Linked DNA regions of Caenorhabditis elegans. The protein of the gene in region 1 purifies or fractionates together with the protein of each later gene. This does not show direct contact. Each region holds a gene or a part of one and is shown in the gene's direction. Other genes may lie near its edges.

The links. The genes of interacting proteins can lie anywhere in the genome.
Region 2: the proteins of droe-4 (region 1) and gda-1 fractionate together in Caenorhabditis elegans (co-fractionation; one large-scale study listed by BioGRID). This does not show direct contact.

The regions. Positions count from the first base shown.
Region 1 is NC_003283.11:13,989,011-13,996,412, forward strand, and holds droe-4 (dietary restriction over expressed), read left to right. Parts: upstream 1-3,645; 5' UTR 3,646-3,751; coding exon 3,752-4,087; intron 4,088-4,153; coding exon 4,154-4,294; 3' UTR 4,295-4,466; downstream 4,467-7,402. Other genes in the region: ric-7 (CRAL-TRIO domain-containing protein), read right to left, coding at 652-846, 1,772-1,870, 6,094-6,249, 6,697-7,009.
Region 2 is NC_003281.10:11,021,760-11,029,545, reverse strand, and holds gda-1 (CMP/dCMP-type deaminase domain-containing protein), read left to right. Parts: upstream 1-2,979; 5' UTR 2,980-3,004; coding exon 3,005-3,239; intron 3,240-3,547; coding exon 3,548-3,666; intron 3,667-4,105; coding exon 4,106-4,258; 3' UTR 4,259-4,307; downstream 4,308-7,786. Other genes in the region: Y48A6B.8 (Wsv161), read left to right, coding at 109-138, 185-824, 877-977, 1,031-1,144, 1,189-1,440, 1,485-1,596, 1,648-1,720, 1,776-1,880 and 2 more; putative voltage-gated potassium channel subunit kvs-4, read right to left, coding at 4,377-4,493, 5,394-5,464, 5,760-5,789, 5,870-5,895, 5,954-6,087, 6,172-6,422, 6,884-6,961, 7,013-7,253 and 2 more.

The DNA.
Region 1 (7,402 bases):
AGGGTGATGATGCTGAAGGTATACTTAGAAACGTATTGGAGGTGGAAAAACAAGCATCAGTATTTATGAAGCTGGTCTTTTCAGATATCATGGAAAAATAGCCAACGAAAAGACATTGCAATGACCGAGATTTCTGTTTAAAATAGGTATTTTTTGGAAAATTCTCAAAATGTTTGCATAATTCTCAACATATTCAAAACACGATGAATGAAGTTGGATAATTATGAAATTTAGTTTTTATCCTAAATTTGGCCATTACACATGGTGTCAGAGTGTCCCATTTCGGTTTGATCTACGTAGATCTACAAAAAAGCGGGAGTTGAGACGCAGACTTCTCAACTGATTTCGCATGGTTCAGAGCGTGCTAACGTTACTTTTTTTGGGAAAATTCCCTTGTAGATCAAATCGTAATGGGACAACCTGACACCACGTGCCGTTAGGGGGAATTTTGAGTCTTGGGAAGTAACACGAAATTTACTTGTCCCATACGGTAACATACGGTAACTTTCTTATTTCAACAGAGGCAAACTTGCAAATTAATCTAAAATATTATCAAGCTCTCAAAATCCTCTAAATTCGTCGGCGAACATCGGCTTAACCGCTCAAATTAGTCTGCGCGCATTTCAAATATTCCAAATTCCATATCTATACCTTTGGAGGTAAATCGTCATCTCCTCGGTCAACGAGAATCTTGAAAATGTCTGCAGGACTGTCCACATTGAACCAATCTTCACAGAAAAGTCCAGCAAGTCGTTCGTCATACGCTCTCTTCGCTTCGAGAACCATCAACACTTGGTAGGCTTTATGGTGATCTTCTTCAAGTCCGGATAACGAATCAGTTGATGCCTGAAACATTTGGAAAATGAATGGAATTATGGTGTCGATGTATGATTTGAAAGTAATCGTAAGATTGGTCAGATCATTGCAGATTTTATAAAGTTGCGTTTGCGTAGGCATAGTCCTTCAGCATCTAACATCACTGAACATCAATTTGAACTATGGCTTGTTTTCGTAGAAATTCATTCTTTTTCTAGGAATAATTAAACTATTGTTCTAAAAAAGAAAAAGTGAACTACCGGAAACAAAGAAGCCATGCTGAGCGTAGAAAATCGTCGGAAATCACGACATTAAAAAAGTTCAGTGCCAGCGACCTTTATTTCAGATTTTGAAAATTAAATCGACGAAAATCAATTTTTCCCCAACATTTTAGAAAACAATGTATACAAGAAAAAAAACAATGCATGCAAACAATGCAAACAATGTGTTTGTTTTATAAGAATTTTTTTGGCAGATTTGAGTGGAAATCAAAAATCTGAAAAGCCCGGTTTTGGGGAAATTCTACCCAAAATCTGAGAAAAATGAACTGAAAAACTTTCAGATTGAAATTTTATGGAAATTTTTTTAGCATGTTTAGTATGTTTCAATGGTATTTTTATCTATACTTCTACTTATTCATTTTTTAAATGTAATTTAACTAAACTATTCTATCAAAAGTTTATTAAAATGCCACCGGACATTAAATTAAACCAAATTTTTATAATTGAATTTCATGAAATTTGATAACTTTAGCATTTCCGGTAACCGGGATACATGACATTTCAAACTAAAAACTCAAAGAAAAAGTTGTCGTTCTTTGAAACAAGTCACACTTATAGTTTGTAGAAGAATCACACGAAAGACCAAATTTTCTAGTAAATTTTTTGTAAACGTGGGAAAATTGTAGTGATGTTGAGTAATGTAGTGTGGTCGAAGCATTTCTGTTGAAACTCACCAAATCATGCAACTTTTTCAGATCTTTTCGCATTGAAGACGGACTGTAGCCTGGCCATTTATTCATAAAATCGCATTCTTGGACTGCATTGTCGAATCGCTGGAAAATAAACATATATTAGTTTTAATCTCCAAAAAAAATAATTTCTGGACTCGGAGATTTTGTTTAGAAAGTAATCTACCAAATCGCGCGGGTTTATAAAATTTGCCTCCCATAAGAATAAGTCTACTTTAAGCCAGTTTTTGCGTGGTTTTTGTTTTGTTGTTCTCCTCTCATACATCGGATTTTACTGTAATCCTATAAAGTGATTCAATTTCCTATTCTCATATCGTAGACATGTTGATTTGAAAGGAAACTGTCTCGTTTGACGTATTATAATAATCATTATTATTATTCACAGGCATTATTCTTCCTTTTTCCAGCTAGTCGACAGTTTCTGAAACTGTGGACACTTGGGGTTTTGAGCTCAAAAATCACAAGACAGAATATTAAATACTTCCACTTTTTTCACAGGTCAGATCTATCTGCAACAAAATGTAGTCAGAATGATACCAGATATAGGGTCATTTGACAAGGGTCCTTCTTCCTTTATTGACGTCAATAATGAAATCAGAACAAGAAATTGGGTGAAAAGTGCAAAGGGCACAAGATGTACTTTTGCCATTTTTTTAAATTTCTTTTTGAGCATCTTCGTGACCATTCAATCATTTTCAGAAGCGTTCTTCACACGCAAATGTGCCACTTCCACACCTCTCAAAAATTTGAAATTTTCACGCTGAAAATTGGATTCCTCATTTTGTGTGGTTCCTGGACACTTTAAGATTCACTAGGATTAAATTGAGATTAACAGTGACGCCCGGGAGCTCGGACTTTTCGGTTTTTTTCGGATGGGAATGCCGACTAGAAAAGTTACATTCGTTGAAGTGAGACATATTTAAAAGTACAAAACGATTTGTTGATCTTCTATACTTTATCAAATGTCTCTTTAAAGCTACTGGCAAACATTCAAATGATCACCTCATAAGGCGTGGTAGATCAATCACTAAACGTGCAGATTGTCTTTAAAAAAATTTTAACTCCAAAATTTGGTCGTTCAAATAATGAGTCAACGTTGTGGCTCACAAAACAGAAGAGTTCAGAAATATTTTTGGTGCTGGTAGCGATGCGGATAACTAATTAGTAGAGGCTAACTGAAATCATTCACGTCAAGAGGCAAAAGAACACCGAATCGCTGAGTCAAAAAGAGTTCTGATCAACAGTAGGGAAGATCGCACTGTGTAGAATGATCTCAAATGGCGCCCTGTTTGGTACGGTGAAATATAGGGCTGTACAACCGGACGTCCGGTCGTCCGAACCGGACGCACATGCGTCCGGTTGGGGGTAGCTATCCACGACGGCCGACAATTTCCGAGTTTCGCCACTCACTATAAAACTGCTGATTAAGTATAGTGAGTGGCGAAACTCGGAAATTGTCGGCCGCCGTGGAAACCTACCCCAAAACCGGACGCAGTGCGTCCGGTGGTGTCAAAATCGGACGACCGGACGCCGATTTGTACAGCCCTAGTGAAATAAGTACACGTCAAAAACCCCAATTAGTGAATAAAGGGATATCCGTGTTATTTTTTTCCGATCTCCTCATTCTGAAAACCTTACTATCTATATGACATAACTTGGCATTCTTCCCTTGATCCTTATGTACTTTTAACTTAATCAAAACATGAGCTGACCATTTATCTTAACATTATCACCCGTATCTGTCACATGTTTCTAAAAAACACCTCCTGATCTTCAGCTTTTCTTTTCCACCTCCTTTTTCCTATTTTCCAGCTCTGTTCAAAGCCCGCCTTTCGTTACTAAAAAACTGACTCCGCCCATTTCAGCTTCATCATATAAACAGAGTTGGCAGTAGGGCTAATCACTACTTCGAGTCACTCGGACATCTGCCGATCTCTTTTTTTCGATCTCACTGAAACGGTCGACATGTTGAACACTCCAACTGTTATTCTCATCTCTTCACTCGTCCTGGCCTCGGGTTACAGTGTTCGTTCAACTGCTAAGAACACCGTTCAAGATGCTCACGATCAACTCACAAAGAGCATTCGGTGCTGGGAGCCGATTGATGTCAACAATCCATCAAAAGGATACACGATGAGCGAGCCGATCTACGAGTTGTGTAGCTACATGCCAGACCCAAAGGACTACAACAAGTACTACGTCAATGGAGTTCAAATGGATTCCGATGATTACACCAACATCTTGGCCATGTACGGAAATCCAATCCCAGGACACGCTGTGATCAACGTTTGTCTACAAGAGGTAGGTTCAATATTATCAGGCTTAATATAATTGGAGGAATCGGTTTCTTATATAAAATCACTTCAGGCATTCCAATTCCACGCTGCAAACCATCCATCTCAGGTCAGCCTACGTTGTTTGTGCAAAAGAGACGGTTGCAATCTACCAAAAGGATTTACAACCTTCCTCGATTTCAATAAGCTCCCGATGCCAGAAGTCTTCTACTAATTCCTGAATCCTTTCGTCCAATAATATGCTATTCGTCGGGATGTCGCCAGTCTTCTTTTCCTATAATCCCCATTTTTGAATAATTCCTGATTTTCTTCTTCCTTGAACCCGTGATAATGACCATTTCTGATAATTGAACAAACGAACTGAATAAAGATGAGAAACGTTGCAGTATTCTGAGTTGTTCCATAATCCCAGAATCTTCAAATGATCGATTGCTTACGAATATTTGAAAGAAAAAGTGAACAAAGACTATGGTATACATACTCTCCCAACTATAAGTTAGCCGACTATTTTCAGATATCATGAAGAGGCTCCTTCGACGTAGGTAAATCTTCTGATTATACCCATTCATCTTGATTGTATAAATGCCGGATTAACTGACATCCATTATTGCTTTCCATTCTTAATCCGATTAGATTATTCCATTTGTAGATCCACCAAAAAATGAAATATATGTGTGACGTATAGAGACCAAAGAAGCTATTCATTATTCTAGATCATTCCAACTGTCTAACTTTGGTTTTCAAACTTTTAAACAGTAAATAAATGAGCCCTGAAGAGTTGATCGCCGTGCGCGTCCAACATCACCCATACAACTCATAAAGTATTCTTCGTGTGAGGTCTTGTTTACGTCACGGGCTCTTCTTGCCAAAAAGCGAAAAGCTAAAAACGAAGAACATACAACGCAACATAGGTTATTCTGCAAAATTAATGAGATCTTGCTGATGAGAGTAATCGAACACAAATTCTTCGATGCATCTGAATGATCAATCTGGCAATGAGCAATGGATACACATAAATTATTTCCCCTGCAAAACTAGTGGCATTCAATTTGCATTTTAATGATAATATGGGAATGAGCACGAATCCTCGCTTATTCCATTTATAACATTCAGGTTAACCGGTCTAGTGATTCTGAACTTTAGCAGACGAGTTAATGATAACCAAGACGTCGAAATCATCAGAGCTGACATTATTGACTTTTCAGCAGAATTCAATACGTCAGACACATCTTCTAATTGGGACGAAGCTTCTAGATATTGTGCAATGATGCTTCTCATCTGAAACCTTGTCTGGCGGAGCCAACTTGCACTTTTCAAGATATTATTCAAGAAGCACGTCAAAGGTGTGGTGGGTGGTGAAACGCAAGAAAAAACTAAAAATATCCTAAATGTTCTATAATCTTTTATTATTGTTTGGGTATTTGATACCAGATCGTGATATTCCAATCATCCAAATGGGATAAGAAGCTATTCTAGATTTTCTGTCATTTCTTGAGCTGAAAACAGCTTTCTTCAATAATCGCGGGGTTTCTTGGCATCGGAGGATTCAAATGTAAAAATCTGCGAACTTAAAGGTTTTCAAACAAACTTCAAAGAGCATGAAAAATCACATAAAGTGGTTAGATTCTCTAGAACAAAATATTACAGTAGTACTCTATGAATGATTCACTGAAAATTTCGAAAAACAAATGTATTCTCATTTTTAGAAAAAAAAACAATTCGTACCGAAGTCAAATCGTGACGACTTTAATCCGCTTTTTATTTTCTTTTTTGTTCGACAACTGGCTTCAATAACGACAATAACGCACGTAATTAATTGAGAAATCCGGTGGATGTGTCATTGGAAGAAAAATTGAATTTTCAAAAAACGATGGGGACCCATTTTTAATCAAAAGAGCATGGGTGCTTTGTTCATTTTATCTTGTTATTCTTGAAATTTCATTCCATTTTTTAAGCACACGGGGGTACTTTCAAATGCGGAAATTTTTTTGGCATTTTTGTGAAATTGCTCACCTTTTCAATAATCGACCACGTGGCGTCGCGAAGAAGTGAACATTTGTGATAAAGAGCCGATCGCATGAATAGAGAAACACATGATTCATTTGATTCGGTGACACTCGGAACGGCGACTCGTTTCAGACGACGCTTATGATAGATGGTTTGGAGGTCCTGTAATAACTTTGAAATGGTGTAATTTTTTTTTTTTTTGAAAAAACTTGAAGGATTTTCAAATTCTCAACAATTTTGATGATGTATTGTGAATGTTTTTTTTAATCGATTAAAGCACATTCACATTTTCACCATTTAAAATTAATTAGAATTCCATTTTGCACAAAGTTGGAGAAAGTAACCAGACGAGCAAAAAAACCTTTTCGAGGTAAAATGGACTTACAAAATAGATATTGGTTTTTAAAAAAAATCAAATCCGTAATTTTTAAGAGGGCTATTTTTGTGTGTAAAAAACTATTTAAAAAAGTATTCATTTTTTTGCATTTTTGGCCATTGTCTTTAATTGTGTCAAAAAAAATTTGTTTTAATTCAATAAAACATTACTTTACATTTTTAGACATCACATGAATAACCCCATACTTAAGAAGTTTTTCTGAAAGTTCTCACCCTAAATGGTGGTGAATATGGCTGAAAAATTTCACAAGCCATCACCATCAAATCTCTCGACATTTTCGGAGCAAACTTTGGCTCAATTTCCCGCGTTACAGATGAAGAAGCAATTGACAGGGCTCGTTGAACGGCAACTTCTGATTCAAGATCCCAATCAAGGTTTGCTCGTCGAAGTCTTTGTGGTGATGATCCTTCTTCATCGAATCCAATACGACTCGGTCCGTTACGATCAATATCATCACACCATTCCAGTGAAGCACACGACGGAGCTACAATTGACATGTTATCGGATTCCTGGAGAACGTATAATCTGAAAAAATGTCAATTTTAATGATCAGCTTTGAAATTTTCGGATGTTTCTAATAGTGCACAGTTTGAAACTTGAAAAATTTGTCATTTTCACATTTTCAGATTATAAAAATTTTATTCTGAAACCTTTATATGCGTGATTTTTAAGATTTTTCATGTTATAATAATTATTATTTTTCAAGTGACGAATTCTCCTGATTCACTGAAATAGACAATAGTGGGATTTCCAAAAAAAACTTTCGGTGCTTCATTCCAACTTTTGAGCTCTTTCTGCAAAAATGTCATCTTCCTGTTATTTTCTGGAACGGAAAACATGACGCAGTTATTACTTTTTTTTCTGCAAAAAAAGAAGAGAATGAATCAGCATAATCATAATCCAATTCGGGATGGGGAT
Region 2 (7,786 bases), on another chromosome or scaffold:
ATTTGTAAACTATTATTTTATCCTTTTTGTTCTCGAAAATATTTGCCTTTTTCGCTGTTATTTAATTCATTAATCACTTTCAGTATAATTTAACTTTGGAATCTAAATATGGCGCCTCTTAAGAGAAGAAAAGTTTCGGTGAGTTAATAATCCTCATTAGAAAATTAGCAAAAGTAAAATTCAGGCTCCGACTGGAAATGAAAATACCCCAAGATCGACACGTTCCATTCGTCATAAGAGGGAAGATCCAAGAGGGAAGATGAAGCCACTTGCAACCAGTACTCGAACATCTTCGGTTAACAAGAAAAAAAAGAACGATGACGACTACGAAAACTTTTATTCTGGAGAGAACACTATAACGACTATGAAGCCAGTTGTATTCCCAAAAAAACCAGTGATTTTTGAGCACGGGTACGGAATTGAAGACGACATTGAAGACGAAATAGATGATGAAGAATTGGACGACGAAGAATATGAGGAGAGTGGAAACGGAAACGAAGATGAAGTTGAAGAGGAAGTCGGAGTGGAGGAGCAAGAAATTGAAAACAACTTCGCTTATAAAAAAGTCAAGAGTGAAATTTCGTGCTCGCCATTCCTTAAAGAGCATTCTGTACATTCTGTACTGACAAATAATCGCGCAAAAACTGGTACAATTGATTCAAAGGCTGGGCGCACAGCCTATCGAAAACAGAAACTTCGTGAAGGAACATGTTGCTCACAAAGCAATGAGGCAACCGGGGACAGCACAGACAGATCAAGTACCTCCGCGGGATTTGATGTTTTTCAGCATCTACAAAACAGAGCGGTCCAGAAAACTATGATTGGTAAGTCACATTGAAACTAAATCTTGAGTTTAAAGCAAATTGTAATTTTCAGAGCAACTGGAATCAGCGGTTCGAAATCAAGATGTTATGGAAATGGGCAACGTTGTGAAGAAGGGATTAGAAAATGGAACTCTTTCAGAGATCCAGATAGAGGTGCAAAATATCCAAAATATCCAAATATTTAATCTTAATATCTTAATTTTAAGGAATTTTGTAAACATACAACTCGTCCAAACTTCTCGATCCTACAGTTCGTCCAGGCTCTCAGACAATCTACAGAAGACGAGAAAGAGTCTATTCAAATTGCACAGATGATGATGGCAGGCCGTAATTAATCAATTTCATATCCTAATACTTTTTTCAGTTTAAAATGCAGGATCCTAAGGATGGGAATTACACCGCACTTGCAGCAAACGTGCACACCCTGACATCGAAAATTTCAAAGCAGTTGAACGCTGGATGTATCGTGAAACGAACACTTACGATGAACCACACAATTTCACAAGCTGACGGGTTTCCTACGTGTAATCTCACAGATATTTATAACTCTGAACTCTTGATTGGAGGTGATGCCGTCTCGCAACTTTCAAATTTCTATATGGTTGCCTTGAAAACTGTAAGTTGACATTTTGATATATAAAAATAATAAATTCAATTCAGATGCTGGAGCCTTCTTATAAAATCTGGGCATTTACTTACCGACCAAGCTGTGTTCGCCGTGTTGATAGACATTTTCAAGAGTTACCACAAAAAGTGACAACAGCGATTATTGGTGCGTTTAAGATGTGAACAATTTCTAATCACAAAATCATGTTTTTTTCAGAAGTCGCATTCGATATTGTTGGAGTTTATTTGCCGGTTGAGCTGTCATACGGTTCGATTGATAGGGAGCATGAGTAAGACATGAACCAACTTTAAACAATTTTGAATTATTCATTTCATTTCTTCTAGATTCATCAAAACGCTTGGAGAAGGAGCAGAACTTGAGGTTCAGCGCCGTAGGGACGAAAGAATCACAGTGTTCAAGAACGCAGTAGAAGCCCTTGGCAAAGCAATGTAAGAAATCTCGTAAAAATTGTAAAATGTAAAAAAAAATGATATGATTTCAGGAACAATCTTCGAACATATCACTTTGATATTGCCAAAGGAGCACTATTCAACTGCAATAAACCATCTTATTGCGAGCATCATCTCAAGTGGGGACAGGTTCGAAAGTTCAGAGAACAGCATCAGAGGATGGAAACGTCACCAGAAGAAGTTATCAGATTGTAAGTAACTCAATACTTTTAATCGATAAACCAATACATTTTCATTACAGTGCAACCGGTCAACGCAATGAGCATGATGTCTCCGCTGCTGGACGATCGGTCAAAGACTCCACCCACTGAAGCTTAATTTTTCGTTGTTTTTTTTTTGTAATTGATTTTTGTTGTTAACCCTGTTCATGTTTTGTCCTTAAATAAATATTTTCCACAGGAAATCGTCTAAAGAATAAAGTAAAAGCGCGGCATAATTCGCATCTATAATCACCAAGGTCTTGCCCAAGTTTAGCCCAAGTTTAGCCCAAGTTTTACCCAAGTTTTGCCCAAGTTTGGCCAGCTTCTAATCCATGTTAATTTTTCTTGGGTGAAACTTGGGCAAGAAGCTGGCGGTGAATGCCGAGTTCCCCGCAAAAGCTTCAGTTTTTAATTATTTGATCTACCACCTCTTGCACTTTCCCCTGCCACTCTCTCACCTGATACTAGGCCCCCATAAATTTTCAATTTTCTTCCATTTCTCACAAATTTTCTTATCAAAACCTTTTTTAATTTCTTATCAATTAAATAATCTTACAACAGACATCATACCAGAAAAACCAAAAAAAAAAAGAAAGTGCTCGCGGAGCTCACGTGGTTGGCTCGGGCAGCTGGGGGTGGAAAAGCTCGTCGCTGATAAGGGATCACTTTGTGATAAGACGATGATGATCGTGACCTGTTTCAAAGACGTTTTGCCACTTTCGACGCGAATTTTTGGGTTTTTTGGGGGAAAAATTTGTTGCATTTTGTTGAATTTTTAGAATTTTTTATTTACTTTTTTGGGAGTTTTTTCAACAAAAACCCGCCTGCTCACCTCGAAAATTTCCTTTCTTCGTCAGACCTTACTAATTTTTTTTCAGAACCTTCCCCAACTCCTACTATAAAATGAGCCCATCCGCCTCTGATAAGCCTCTCCCACCCCATCACGCTGAGCACATGGCCGAAGCTGTCGCAGAAGCTTGTCGAGGTGTCGAGTGTGGAGATGGTGGACCATTCGGTGCGGTTGTAGTTGATTCAAACGGGAAAGTGGTCGCAAAAGGCCACAATATGGTGCTGGTCACCAAGGATCCGACAATGCACGCCGAGATGACTGCTATTAAGAATGCCTGCAAGGCATTGGGTAGGCACACGAATATTTAGAGCATCTAGTGATAAATTGACATAACATTTGAATTTTACAACCTCGATTTCCTATATTTCTTAAAAAATTTTTTTGCGATTTTTAGGATTTTTTTTTTCAAAAAAAAAGTTGCAGAATTTTTTCTCGAATTAGAGCAAATTTTTTCACATAATTTTACAAGTTAGATAGTTTAAAATTATTTTTGAAAATTGAAAAAAAACAACGATTAACTATTTTTCTGTTAAAAAATGCTAAATTTTTTCGACGTTTTTTTTCGATAAGTTTTTAATTGAAATTCACGTTTTCAGGAACTTTTGACCTATCTGGACATATTTTGTACACATCTTGCTATCCATGCCCAATGTGCATGGGCGGATGCCTTTGGGCTCGATTCGACGCAATTTACTACGGAGCAACTGCTCAGCAGGTGATTTTCATAAAAACTAATTTTTTACACTATTACTGTCTCTTTAAGAGCTTTTATCAATTTTAGTGACGTTCGGGGTTATTTTTCAAACTTTGGGTTACTGTAGCACCAAAAGTACGCAATACACCGGACCTTACGGCAAAATCACAAACTTTTGAAATTTTACCGAATCTGTTCAAACCAGTTATAGACCTAATCTAGAAATTGCCTGTAAAAATCCATAATTTTGTGCATTTTCTCAAGTTCATTAATTTGTGGAAACCCTTGGAAAAAGTAATTTTCAAAATTTTTTACTAAAAAAATCGAATTCTGCACCTTTTTTCAGTTCAATTTAAAAAAAAACTGTGCATTTTGTCGTAAGCTTTGGTGCACTGCGTATTTTCGGTGACACAGTAACCCAAAAAAAAAAACCTTTTCCAAATAAAACAAGTTCTTCCAGGCGGCCGAGATTGGATTCGACGACAAAGCATTCCACGACTTCCTAAAAGACCCGAAAAGCGATGAAATCCGAAAATTGGAGCATTTGGCAGCCGACAACTACCTACTCCCATTCCAAATGTGGTCCAACAAACCGGACAAGACAGAATATTAATTGGAGTATTTTTTTGAAAATTGTTTCGTTAAATAAAATTTGAAAAACATATAAAAAGACAAATACATTGGGACGGTTGGGGAAAAATTGGCAAAATTGGCAAAATTTCAAACTTTTTTTAGGTAACTTTCAAAATCATTTGCTCGGATTTTGTAGCTTTTGGGTATTGAGATGTTCGATATCGATTTCCACCCGCCGGACGTTCAGTTTCAGCCACTTTCATGAAGTTATCGACCTGAAAATTAAAAAAAAAAATTAGAAGAAAATTTGTTTCCTGGCTATCAAATTTTCTGTTGAAAATCTTGTAATGTGCAGGGTTAGAATTGAAAAAAAAACGTTTTTAGTAAAGAAAAGTGCTCAAAGTTTTGTTTTTTCAGAGATATGACGCATTACGGGTTACTTGTGCCCTAAGAGTACGCGATACACCGAATCTTACGGCAAAACGCACAGGTTTTAAAACGTGGCGCCAATCTGTCCCATTGCGGTTTGATCTACAAAAAATGCGGGAATTTTTTGCCTAAAAAAATGTGAAGTCAACACGTTCTTAACCATGCGAAATCAGTTGAGAACTCTGCGTCTCGTTTCCCGCATTTTTTGTAGATCTAAGAAGATCAAGCCGAAATGGGACACTCTGACACCACGTGTTTACCCAAAAAGCATATTTTGCACAATTTTAAAGTTTTGTGCATGTTGTCGTAAGATTCGGTGCACTGCGTACTTCCAGAGCTACAGTAACCTGTAACTTCGCTAAAATCGTCATATCTCAACAACGATTGATTCTACTGAAAAGTTATCAACTAACAAATTGTTCTACACAAAATTTTGCACATTTTATTAGTTCTAAACTATTTTTTAAATTAAATACCTGCAAAGATACAAGAGTTTCAAAAAAAAAATTTTCAATGACACACCAGCGGAGCTAATTTGGTTTTTGTTTTCTATCAAAATTTTATTCTCAAATCACTATTGCATAAGCTTGTGTGAGTGAAAAATGCACATTTATTCATCAAAAAACACACGTTTTGCCATTTTCTCACGTTCTCGCGATTTCAGTGAGAATGCGACTTGAGCCTAAAGTACATTGTTGGAAAAGCTAATACATAAAAAAAATACTCTGAAAAATCACAAAACTCACTATAATTGTGATGGGCAATGCTAAAACCAAGACTCCACACGCGATTGCCCCAGTTGCCACCAGTTTTCCAGCTGAAATTAAAAAAAAATTTTTTTTTAGTGAAAATTGAATAAAAAACTAGGCTTAAATAGTTTTTAAAGATTTTTCATGTCAAAATTTGTGCTCACCGACATTTTTACCCTAACCAGCCTTTTTTTGCGCAATTTAAAAAATCTGTGCATTTTGTCGTGAGGTTTGGTGTACTGCGTACTTTTGGCGCTACAGTAACCCAAAACTTGAAAAATAGTGCCCAAAATATATGCCCAAGGGAACAAAATCACAAGAAATCTGAATTTTTTAAAATTAAATTAATTTTAAAAAACTTACGAACTGTAACCGGAGTCAGGTCCCCGTACCCTGAAAATTTCGTTTTATATTTTATTTTAAAATTTTCAAAAATTTCCGAAACAAAGTACGTTACAACATTTATATCTTACCGACTGTTGTCATGGTGACAATACACCTAAATATCAGTTTTTTTTCAAAAAATTTCAAATATTTTTGGAAAAAAAGTGTCTTACCACCAACACGCCGCCGGAATTGAATGGAATTTTGAAGCGGGCTCGTCTTTTTCCAAAAAATATACCAAAGTCGAGAAAAATATGACACCTGTCATTACAACCATTGCCATCATACCCAGTTGACGGAATGACGCCTGAAAATTGCCAATAAAGGGGCGGAGTCAAAAAGCCATTTTTCTTTCAAAAAATTTTGGCGCGAAATCAAAACTTGGACCTACTTTCAAAGTTTTTCCGAACATTTGCAGACCACTGGAATATCGTCCCAACTTGAGCACACGAATGACTCTGAGCACTCGAAGAATTCGAATAACAAGGAATGCTCCTTTGAGGTCCCGTAGTTGCTCCGTTGATATTCCAAAAATTAAGAGAAGCATTTCTATGATAAATGGAAGGATAGCAAGTAGATCTATGATGTTGAGCAGTTGCCGGAATGTCTTGCTCCTCTCAGCACTGACCAACATTTTTAGGCCTGAAGAAAAAACAGTAACAATTTTTCAATGTACGGAATTTTTTATTTTTGACTGTTTTAAGAAGCTTTTAGAAATTTGCCATGTCTTCCAAAAATTTACAAATTTTTAGCAGGGTTTTGAATTTTCTAGAATTTTCGTTGAGTTTCGCGCCTAAAATTTTCCACAAATTTAAATTTCGCCCCAAAAAATTCCCCGCAAAATTTAAATTTTCTGCCAAAATTGTTTTCATAAATTTGAATTTCCCGCCAAATGTTTTTCATAAAAGTTGAATTTTGCCTAGTTTCTTTTTTGCGAAAATTGAAATTCCCGCCAAAAAATCCCCCGCACAAGTTTTCTCACAAAACTTTAAATTCCCTGCAAAGTTCGTCGCACAAAATTTGAATTTCGCGCTAAATTTTTATTCGGAAAATTTTAATTTCCCGCCAAAACGTTTTTTTTACAAAATTTGAAATTGCCTTACCGTACTCCATAGTAAACCAAACAATGCAAACATATTCGATATATCCTAAAATTGGCATAGGCTCCATTTCCGTGAATTCTGTAAAACAGGTAAAGAAAAGTTGAAAGCCCAGAGCGACGGCCAACATACCTTCCCCAGTCAAATTGTTCCTCTGTTTCGTAGCCACCTGCAACTCGGGCAAGCTTCCCAACACGAGTCCGCTTATCGAAATGAGCACAAATACCACGGAGCAAACTGCAAAAGCTTGGGCTTTTCCCGAACTAGCCGGCTCCTCAATTATATTCCAAACGCAACGACGAATTTCCCCAAATCTCAAAGTTTTGAATAAATTCGGCTTGTCCTGCTCTTCGACTTCCTCGTCGTCATCGTCCTGAAAAATGTGGTAGGTGCTTTTCAGGTTTTTTGGAAAGTTGTGCATTTTTACAGTTATTGAAAAAATATCAGAAAATATAAAAAACCACCAGAAATTCTAATTTTCACACGAACATTCCTTTACAAAAAAAACGTACAATTTGCTGAGCACAACAGCACGACGCCAAATATTGATCGGGTATGATTCTCCAATACTCCAACTCTTCAATGATATCTACGGGGCACAAGTTTGATGGTTGGTGGATTACTCCTGAAACTCGAGCAGTTTCCAGCAAACTTAAAAATTCCTTACCATTGAGGTAAAATTGATAAACAATGTGAAAAAGTGATGGAGGCCGTTCAAAGTAGAATTCGGACGTTGAACTGAAAAACGCATCCGCGTTAGAGTCGGCAACCGGCTTGTTGATAAGGTCTAGGAGGCGGCCTGCAAAAAATAATTTATGAAATTGAAAAATTGATGATTTGCAATATTTTGTTACTTGATTACTTTTCAAAAGCTTGCTTCTCTGCAGAGATATACATAGGCCGTTG